Linked DNA regions of Oryctolagus cuniculus. The protein of the gene in region 2 interacts with the protein of the main gene of each other region in a pairwise test. Links are inferred from orthologs where the notes say so. Each region holds a gene or a part of one and is shown on either strand. Other genes may lie near its edges. The genes, in order: INSR, SHC1 and SHCBP1.

Evidence for each region.
Region 1: the proteins of SHC1 (region 2) and INSR interact in a two-hybrid assay, tested with the Homo sapiens proteins (2 studies listed by BioGRID and IntAct). The link is inferred for Oryctolagus cuniculus from reciprocal best matches to the Homo sapiens genes SHC1 and INSR.
Region 3: the proteins of SHC1 (region 2) and SHCBP1 interact in a two-hybrid assay, tested with the Homo sapiens proteins (2 studies listed by BioGRID, with this or other methods). The link is inferred for Oryctolagus cuniculus from reciprocal best matches to the Homo sapiens genes SHC1 and SHCBP1.

What each region holds. Positions count from the first base shown.
Region 1 is NW_027208201.1:3,562,623-3,566,276, forward strand, and holds part of INSR (insulin receptor), read right to left. Parts: intron 1,959-3,654; coding exon 1,607-1,958; 3' UTR 1-1,606. UniProt on the Homo sapiens protein: Receptor tyrosine kinase which mediates the pleiotropic actions of insulin.
Region 2 is NC_091438.1:43,545,609-43,548,064, forward strand, and holds the end of SHC1 (SHC-transforming protein 1), read left to right. Parts: intron 1-245; coding exon 246-374; 3' UTR 375-1,884; downstream 1,885-2,456. UniProt on the Homo sapiens protein: Signaling adapter that couples activated growth factor receptors to signaling pathways. Participates in a signaling cascade initiated by activated KIT and KITLG/SCF.
Region 3 is NC_091449.1:30,368,839-30,372,492, forward strand, and holds part of SHCBP1 (SHC SH2 domain-binding protein 1), read right to left. Parts: intron 3,236-3,654; coding exon 3,002-3,235; intron 2,911-3,001; coding exon 2,742-2,910; intron 2,435-2,741; coding exon 2,314-2,434; intron 1-2,313. UniProt on the Homo sapiens protein: May play a role in signaling pathways governing cellular proliferation, cell growth and differentiation. May be a component of a novel signaling pathway downstream of Shc. Acts as a positive regulator of FGF signaling in neural progenitor cells.

The DNA.
Region 1 (3,654 bases), on a different chromosome or scaffold from region 2:
TCCTCTGAGCAGCTGTGGTTCCTTTCACAAAGGGAAGGACAGTGGGGTCCCGCCCACCCAGAAGTCCTTGGTGTGCAGGTCTTGAACGGTTCCTCCTCCAGACTCCTCTCTCCCGGGCCCTGCAACATCACGAAGCCCCTGAGAAGTGCCTCAGGTGCCCCGGCGGGCCACATCTCCTTTGCCATTGCTTATGCTGTCCTCCAGACGTCTTTGGGCTTTGATTGTGTTGTGTTTGCACAGTCCCCGGGGGCCGTGCAGGCCCGGGCGAGGCAAAGCCGCATGAGGTACATACAGAGAACCCGAGGGAGAACACGGGTGTCCTCGGAGCTGGGTTCCGCTCCTGGAAGCCTCCCGCTGAGCCGAGCAGGAGCCCTGTGGCAGGCCGTGGTATCCAAACCACACCTTCCACAAAGCCCACTTGTGCACCCACTCAGCATGGCCTCACGATGTCCACAAAGATTAGCAGCGAATGTGGCTTAATTCCCAGAAGAATGGATGCTTTAAGACCAAACAAAGAGGCCAATTGTGCCTGGCACCCCTCCTTATAAGCAGGAAGGCCCACTCATGACCACACTCCCCGACTCGATAACTTACATGGCTAATGCTAAAGGTGTTCTCCCATTAAACAGGGTACAAATATATCCTCAAAACTCTCCTGCCGTCCCAGTTCTTTTATTTTTTTTTCCCCATCCTAGCTTTGTTTGGTCTTGAAAGAACCCATGATCACTCTAAAAGAAATGCTCCTCCCTTAGTTCCTGGGGGAAAAAAAAAATTTTTTTTTCATCCAAGTGAAAGGAAAGGAGACATCCGAGGCTAGACTTGTAAAATGAGAAGAACCTGCCGGGGGCACAGTATGCCAGGAAATAAGGCAGGGGAGCGTGGGGCCGGAACACGCCAACTTGAAGCAGCGCAAGTGTCAAGTGCCGGCTCTGCACGCGTGAATACTCTGCACGTGCGTGTGCGCACACACACACACACACCCCAGCGGTCTCTAACCTGCACACACACACACACACAGTGTGCACACACCGGGGACGGCAGGTGTTCATGCAGAGTATGAAAACAGCAGCTATTGGTCAACTTGAGGAACTGATCTTTGTGGAGAAGAAGGCAAAGAAGCACGTCCTTCAGTGGGATGAGTAAAACCTTCGCACGCCCACCCTGGCGAGCGTGGAACTCCCTGCCAACAGGGGGTGTGGGTTTTCCTTTTCTCCTTTCAAACTTTTGTTCCACAAACAAGTATTACATTTTATACTGTAGCTCAGACACCAGCAAGGAAAAAAAAAAAAACTGTAAAAACAGGTGCTTTCTTCCCATTGTGCTACGAGATTTAAAAAAAAAAAAAAAAAAAAAAATCCCGGTTTGAGACAGCTGTAGAAAACCCTCCCTGCCCCTCTAGGCTCACGGCTGCATCTTTCACGGACGCCCCGGTCACATTGGCAATTGCACAAGTGTGTGTGTGAAGTCCGAAGACAAGCAGAGAAGTCGAGGGCCGATTTCTGAGCCCGGTGGGCCACGAGGGCGAGTCGCCGCGATCCTGAGTTTTCCGGAGACTTTGGAACCAGAGGAAGGTGTGGATGGAAACCCCGGGCCCGGGCAGGCGCCGTTAGGAGGGATTCGCCCGAGGCAGGCTCAGAATCCGCCCGTTTTTCTTGCCCCCGTTCATGTGGGTGTAGGGGATGTGGTCTTCATAGCGCTTGACGCCCAGCGAGGACACCCCTTCCCGGCCCCCTGCCTCCTCTCTCTGACAGTGCGCGGACCGGTCCAGTGGCACGCTCTCCATGTCCTCGAATTCCATCTCCAGGTCCTCGCTCTCGGGAGCCTTGTTCTCCTCGCTGTGGAAGAAGGAAACTTCCGGAAAGCTGGGGTGGAGGTCGTCCTTCAGCAGGCTGACGATCTCCAGGAAAGTGGGCCGCATCTTGGGGTTGAACTGCCAGCACATGCGCATCAGGTCGGTGCTGCGGAACACAGGGACATGGCCACCGTGAGTCTGGGGGCCCAGCCAGGCAGCCCCTCCCCCGTCCTCTCGCCTCTGCAGCCCAGGCCAAGCGTGCTGCAAGATGCTTTGGAAGATTTAGTTCATTGAAACACACACACACACACACACACACACACACACACAGAAAGAGAGAGAGAGAGAGGGAGAGATCTTCCATCTGCTAGTTCACTCTGCAAATGGCCACAAGAGCCAGGGCTGAAGCCAGGAGCCAGGAGCTCCATCCAGGTACGTGGCTGGCAGGGGCCCACATCCTTGGGCCATCACTGCTGCCCCCCGGGGTGCACAGGATGCATCAGAAGGGGAGCAGCTGGGACTTGAACTGGCACACCGACATGGGAGGTCCATATTGCAAGCCGCAGCACAACGCACTGCACAGCAACACCAGCTCCTTCTATGAGCTTTCTGAAGGGTCCGCGGCCCACGGGCTGCCCCAGGCAGTGCTGTGCAGGCTTCGTCATTTCACACACTCCTGATTTCCCCGCCCCTCCCCAATCTGGGGCATTTCCTGAGGGCCCAGTCCCACCCAGGGCTGCTTGGAAAGGCCGCCTGTGACCCCCGGCTGTTCCAGGGAAAGACCTCTCCAGGCGGGGGAGCTGAAGCTCATGGGAGCAGCAATGCCTACGGAACCCAGAGAGGCAGTTCCGTGTCCGTCCTGCTGGCCCAGCCCTCCGTCTCTGGAGGGTGGCGGGAGGCGCCTCAGTCAGGCGTCTGTCAGCAGCCAGGACCCCAGCCTCACATCCTCATGGCTGCCCATTTCCTCAGCCAACAGCACTCTGAGAAAGGGGCTGAGGACTTGTGTTTGCCATTTTCCCTCTTTCTTTCCAAACTCTAACTTCTTCTACAAGAGTCAGCCAGCTCAGTCCCCAGAACAAATCCACCCCCACCTCAGAGCCAGGGTGTTTTTGAATAAAGTTTTATTGGCACACAGTCATAGCCATTCTCTTACATAATGTCTGCGGTTGCCTTCCAGCTACATCCGCAGAGCCGAAGAGCTCTGACAGAAAACCCCATGGCCCACCGAGCTGACACCACTCACCATACGATCCCTTCCAGAAAAAACAGGGGCAAACTCCTGGCCTTAATTCCCCTGATCAAGGCTGCTGCCTTGCATGGCTAGGAGAGGAAATGCACGGGGAAATGTTTAAAAATATTTTTCTCCAAGTTTCTAAATGACTCTGCTTCTCACTTTTTCCATATCAGATTTCTTCCCATGAAGTTTCCTCAGTTGATGTCTTATTTGGGAGCTGCAGTATTCAAATGGATTTTCTTAATAAGCATGGATAAAGGTCTTTATATAAAAATAGATATTATCAATATATAAAAATTATATATCAATTAAGTGTTCATTGTAGAAAAGTCAGGAAAAAAACCAAAATATACACATCTCGCAATTTTCCTTCAGCTTTAACCTCTGGTCTTTTCAACTGAATATACCCATTCCCACTTAATTTTTTTAAAGATTTATTTTATTTATTTGAAAGAGTTACAGAGAGAAGGAGAGGCAAAGAGAGAGAGAGAGAGAGAGATCGATCTTCCACCTGCTGGTTCACTCCCCAGATGACCACAATGGCTGGAGCTGAGCCGATCCAAAGCCAGGATCCAGGAGCTTCTTCTGGTCTCCCACGTGGGTGCAGGGGACCAACGACTTGGGCCAC
Region 2 (2,456 bases):
CATGCTTTCTGGACTGAGGTCCCCTTGCCTTTCTGTAGTTCCTTCACCTGCCCACTCTCACAGCTGTCTCCAGCTTCTCTTTCCAGGGAAGCCTCAACCAGCCATCACCCCCCACCCCCAGCCCCACCCCCGTCTTTTTCTCTTTGCTCAGCCTTCTCGACTGTTTCATTTTCTTCAAGACTTAAGGGCCGCCGAGGTCTTGGCTCCTCACCTGAATTGACCCCCCTTCCTTCTCACTTTCCCAGGTTCGGACAAAGGATCACCGCTTTGAGAGTGTCAGCCACCTCATCAGCTACCACATGGACAATCACTTGCCCATCATCTCTGCGGGCAGCGAACTGTGTCTCCAGCAACCTGTGGAGCGGAAACTGTGATCCGTCCCCGCGTCCCCGAGCTCTCACAGAAGACGCCCCTGCCTCCCCTTCCACCCTGTTCCCTGCTCTCAGGACTTCACTCAACGAGTGTTCTGTGGGCTTGGCCTTGGGTCAGAGCTGGGAGGAGGGTGGACACTGGGTTTTGCATTCAGCTGAGGGAGAGGGTTTGAGTCAGGAGCCTGGGGTAGAATCCTGCTTCTCCCCAAACCTCACCAAAGTATTAATGTACAGAGTGGCCCCCCCATACCTGTGCCAACCTGATGCCCCCTTCCCCAGGAAGGTGGGCACTCGAGATGGAAACGTCCCCTGGTGATAGGCCCAGTGGAGCAGTCACCCTTCTGGGGAAAGGGGAACAAATCACACCTCGGGTCTACCCCTGGGCTTCAGGGAGTCACAGACCACTCTCAGCCTTCCCCCCAGCGTTTAACTTTGTGCCTTTGACCATCTCCTAGGTCTGACGATATTTAATGCAAAGAAGTTTTCGGGCCCCTGAGTTAAGGACAGGGGTGCTGACGCCGTCTTGGCTCCCAGGACCCTGTCCTCCTTGCTCAGCAGCCTCTCCAGTTTGGGTTGGGAGAACAGAAGCAGTAGTGGCAGCTGTCCCCTCTCCCTGGGGAGGTGCAACCCTTAGAGATTGCCCCAGAGCCCCCCTCCCGGCCAGGGGGGAGATGGACCCCCTCCCTTGCTCAGTGCCTCCTGGCCGGGACCCCTCTCCCCAAGGGGTCTGTATATACATTTCATACGCCCCGCCCCTCCCATGTTGCATGCATGTTATACTCTACAGCCAAAGTGTAGCTCTTCCTCCTGTATCCCGGCTCTGCCTCTCCCTTCCCAGGGTGTGAACTGGAGCCTCCTGTACAGTTCACTCTCCCAGGAGGGTTCTGTGGAGGCGGGAACAAGGGCACTGAGACTCGAAAGCATTAGACAATCCCAAATACCATCTGTCGATTTGGAACCGCGCTCATTTTTACTTTGTATGCACATATTTTATGGCTGTAGGTTTACTTTCCTAATTTTGTTCTCCATGGCTTGTTCTTGAACACAAAATGATGATGATCAACTACATCCACACATCACCTCTTTGACTTTTCCAAGCCCTCTCACCACTATTGGCATTTTCCTCACCGGGCCTGCAAAGGAACTCGGACTGGCAGCATTATTATTATTTTTACAAAAGAGACCAGAGGCAGAAACGGATTTTGAGCCAGGACTAGAACTTGGACCTCTTACCGCAGGCTGGGAGGCAGGCGTTTGGCTGGCTGTGTCGATTTCACGAAGGGGGAACTTAAAGCCCACAGGTCCCCCAGTACCTTCTACACGCGGGGCCCTGTGCTAGGCCCACTGCAGCCACAACCACAGAAGAGGCCAGTCCTGCTCTTTAGGCCTGTGGGGAAGGGAAAGCTGACAATTTTAATCCTAGCCACCACCTCCTTTCGTGTGTTTGGATGTTTTCACGGGTCTCACTTATACCAAAGGGAAATAATCTTCATTAAAATCCGTATTTCTTCTACTTCGCCTTCTTAGCCACTCTTGCAAGCCCATTGTTCGCGCGGAGCCTCCGCGGCAGGAGGGGAGGCTCCAGGTCGCCGCTGGCCCCACCTGGCCTCACTTGGGGCCCGGCGCCGCCCGCTGGGCCCTGGGCGCCGGCCGACTTAGTGCCCGGTGGGCGTGGAGACCGATTGTCCCCGGGGGATGCGGCTGCGGAGGGGCCTGGTGCAGGCGGGGCGGGGCGGGGCAGGGTCCGAGGCCAGCCGGCGGCTGCCGGTGCCTCCTGGGCACGCGCCCCTCGGCCCGCAATGGTACGGTCCGGTCGCAGGGGCTGGCGGGCGGCGTCCCGCGGTGAGCTGGGGCCGGCCGCTCCCTAGAGGGCGACGGCTGTCTCCACTAGGGCCGCCCCGTGGTCCTCTCTCCCCTCTTCCTGCGTTTTGAGGCGCCGAGTCTCCCAGTCCTTGCTTCCCCTCCCCGCCGCGCTCGGTGGTGGCGGCCGAGCGGAGTTCCGGTTCCGGTCGCTGCTGCTGCCGCGGGCGGGCGGCGAGTCTGGAGCGGGCTCGCAGTTCGTGCTCCAGCTCGGCGCCTCCCCCT
Region 3 (3,654 bases), on a different chromosome or scaffold from region 2:
ATGGGAGACCTGGATGGAGTGAACCAGAGGATAGAAGGTCTGTTTCTCTTTCTGTGTCTCCTTCTCTGTGACTCTGCCTTTCATATAAATAAAATAAATCTCTAACAAAAATAATAATAATAACTCCCCAACTGGTTCTTATATCAAGAAAACTATCTTATCAACCACCTCAGACCAGCTCAGCACTGAATTCACTTACAAAACTGCTGTTAAAAAATACATAAATAATCCAAAGTACTCACACCTGGGTCAAAAGGCTTGACAGCATTCAGCCCTTCTGAATTTTTTTCTGACTCAAAAAGTCTATGACTTAAACATGAATTACATTTGAATAAACCTAAGCATTTTTCAAGATTATCTAATTTTACTATCTCTTAAACAGATTGATATAAAATAAGACTAACTTCAAAGTGTCTCAGCTATTGCAAAAAACAACCTATCTTGTTAACCAACCAATAACAATGGATCTCTATTAATCCTAATCAAACTAATAATGCAAGGTGAGATTCTCAGAGCTCACAAAAAATTAGAATATCTGAAAACTAGGGAACTTGCCTAACTTTCCTCCTAAAACAGAACCACAGAGATAAAGCTGTAAGAAATAACTCTCATTGTCTCAAGATGAGTCTGCTTGAGCAAATGAATGAAGTAACTGCATTAAACAGGCAAAGCCATTTATTGCCATGTGGCGAGTATAGGCAAGCACTTGGAAGCACCAGAGAATTCAGGACTTCATAAACCAAATGTTACCAGGGGTAGACTGTGTATGATTAGATTATGAGTAAGACAAATGGCTTTGCTTCCAATTTTTTGTACATGTCTGTTTGTACTTTGCAGATTTTATTTTATCATTGTATTTTATCATCGGAAAAATTTTTTAAATTTTAAATAACTGCATTCTGAGGAAAAGTTCTTCTTATATAAACATATTACAGATTCTTAGTAGTTTAAAACACAAAACCATCATCAAAGTAAATGGATTTTCTAAACACAAATGACCTACAGTAAGTACTGTTAAAACCCTGTAAACTGTGGGTACTCAATATATGTTATGTGTTAGCTATAGATCAGTATCAGATAAGCTTTAATCTTACTCTTGAACATGTTCTCCATATATTCACACTAGAGACACTATTTGATTCCTCAGTTCTCAGAAATGCCCTCTGTTAGTAAATTTATAGTCATTTTTATACTTAACTATCAGAATTCTATGTGGTTATTTATGACACCCTGGCAATTACATTATAATTTCTTCACCAATCTAGGAAGAATTCTTATCTACCACACAATCTACAAGATCATTGTTATTCTCACTATGCCAAAAAATAAAGTGTTTTTATTGCAGTGATTTATCCCCCAGATGTGTTATTTATACACATATATCTATTATAAATCAAATATGGGAGAAGAGAAAGAGCAAAAATTACACACATAAAACAAAAGAGGGTGAGACGAGGTACTAGTGAACAGCAGGAAATTAAACTCCCAGCCTTGCTCCCATTAAGAAGTTCTGACAAGATAAAGATAAAGAACATAGCTTATGCAGTTTGTGAACAGCTGCACAAGTCCCAAAATGATATACAATTTTTTGCATTACAACTTTTATTGCTAACTTAAAGCTGCTTGGGCAAATAGTTGAACAGGTGCATCTAAATTTGACACATTATGGAAATACACAGGACCAAGATAAACAACTATAAGGTAACCTACATTTAGGCATCCCTCTAAATGAATAACTGCTAAAAAGTTATTTCAATAGAATTTTTCAATACTCATATCCTCAAAAGTATACTTTGGTCAAGACACAAAGTGTAGCATTTGTGACATTAAGCAAGTTTTTAAAGAATTAAAACAATTTTTCATACCAATTTTAATTTAAATACATCCCTCATAAAAATAAATTAAAAAAAAACAAATATAACAAAAGAGAAAACAGACACTAAGATATTCACAACAGTTGTAACAGCAAGCAACAAACAGAAAAATACAAAATTTTGAAAAAATATTGCTGGAAATGTTTTTTATCATATAAATTAATTTCCATTCCATAAACCACCCATAATCTGGAAGGTCTGATTCTTCATAATGGTCTTTTTTTGTGTGTGCCTGTGAACATCTTTCCAATATACATACTGTCATAAACAGCTACAACTCAAGTTGTTCAACACTTGGTCAATTCCCTGCATGCTTTAAATACTCTTAATGTTTCCAGGCAGTTCACTTGAAATCATTCATAGAGCTTCAACAAGAGCCAAGATTTCTCCTTATAGGTATCATGCATGAGATTTTGGTTGTGAGCTCTTCCATACTCACCTTCTAACTCAACAGAGTCAGCAATGGAGAATGTGCCGTGCACCACGTAATGACCAGGACACACGATAACAGAGTCTCCTTCATAGCAGGCATTTATGGCAGACAACGGATCACTATGGAACTAGAAAACAACAACATATTGCAAATACATAGCCCCCAAATGCAACCTGAGAATTACTCCAAGTGCCTTCATGTCTCATTTTCAAAATGGAGTCAAAATTGCAGAATTAAGTATCTGCTCTGATAGATAGTTGCACTGAGTCAAGTCCTGTTTGGTAGGTGACTATTGATGACATACAGCACTCCCCCTACTCCCCATTTCAAGAAAACCAGCACTAGGAAGCTCCTAGGAACACTTGGTAGCATTCATGAAAATATGGGGTAAATCAAAAGAAAAAGTTACCTAGTGAGCAAGAAACTCTTTTTACCTGAATTTCTGTTTCTTCCTTACAAGGGTCCTCACAGAGCCTGTCCCTGAGTAGGGACCGCAACAGACCAGTCATCATGGTGGAAGAGACCACATGGGTGACCTTCTGACCGCCTGGACGGAGGCCCTTGGCTTGGATATTAGAATTCTTCTGATAACCAAACACATATCTTAAAGAAACCACACAGACCTATCAGTTCTCAGTAAGACAGATATTAACAAAAGATGCTAACTAGCTAAGAATAACAAAGACACACATACCTCAACAAAGGATTCTCAATAAGTTTTAGCTTTTGTTTCAACTGTTCGATCTCGGAATACAATTTTAACCCTTCCACCATGGAGATATTTTCCTGCTCAGAATCAGAGTTACAATTTGACAAACTGCTTCTCAGATTCAAAAATTTCCTGTAACTCTCCTCACATTGAGACAACAGATTTTGGTAGTCAACAATGAGTCCTGAAGGAACTCGGTCTTCAAGAATGTCATAATGCCTGAAAGTTTAAAAGCAAATTGAAATTCATTGCCTTTCAGGCACATTTTCCTATCATTAACACAGCCCATTTAGTCCTCAAAGACCCAGCAAGAAAATGTTTCATAGCATAAAACTCAGATACATGTTAAGTCTTTCTGAACAGCACTCTATTATAAGTAGAAGCTATTCAAAGTTTTGAAGCACCACTTCATTAAGGTCACTAATTCTCCTTTTGAAGAGTTATTTTTTTTTTCATAGATTCAAGCATTTATGCTTTAGAAACACTGAAAGTTCAAGTTGCGCAATTTGTAATCACTGTTTAATAAGAAACTATTTTCTTCTCATACATTAGATCCAAAATCTTCATAAGTGGGTGGCAGGGGACAATTTTGGAGCCAGGATAGGGAGGGAAGTATTTCAAATTGTTTCATAACAGTG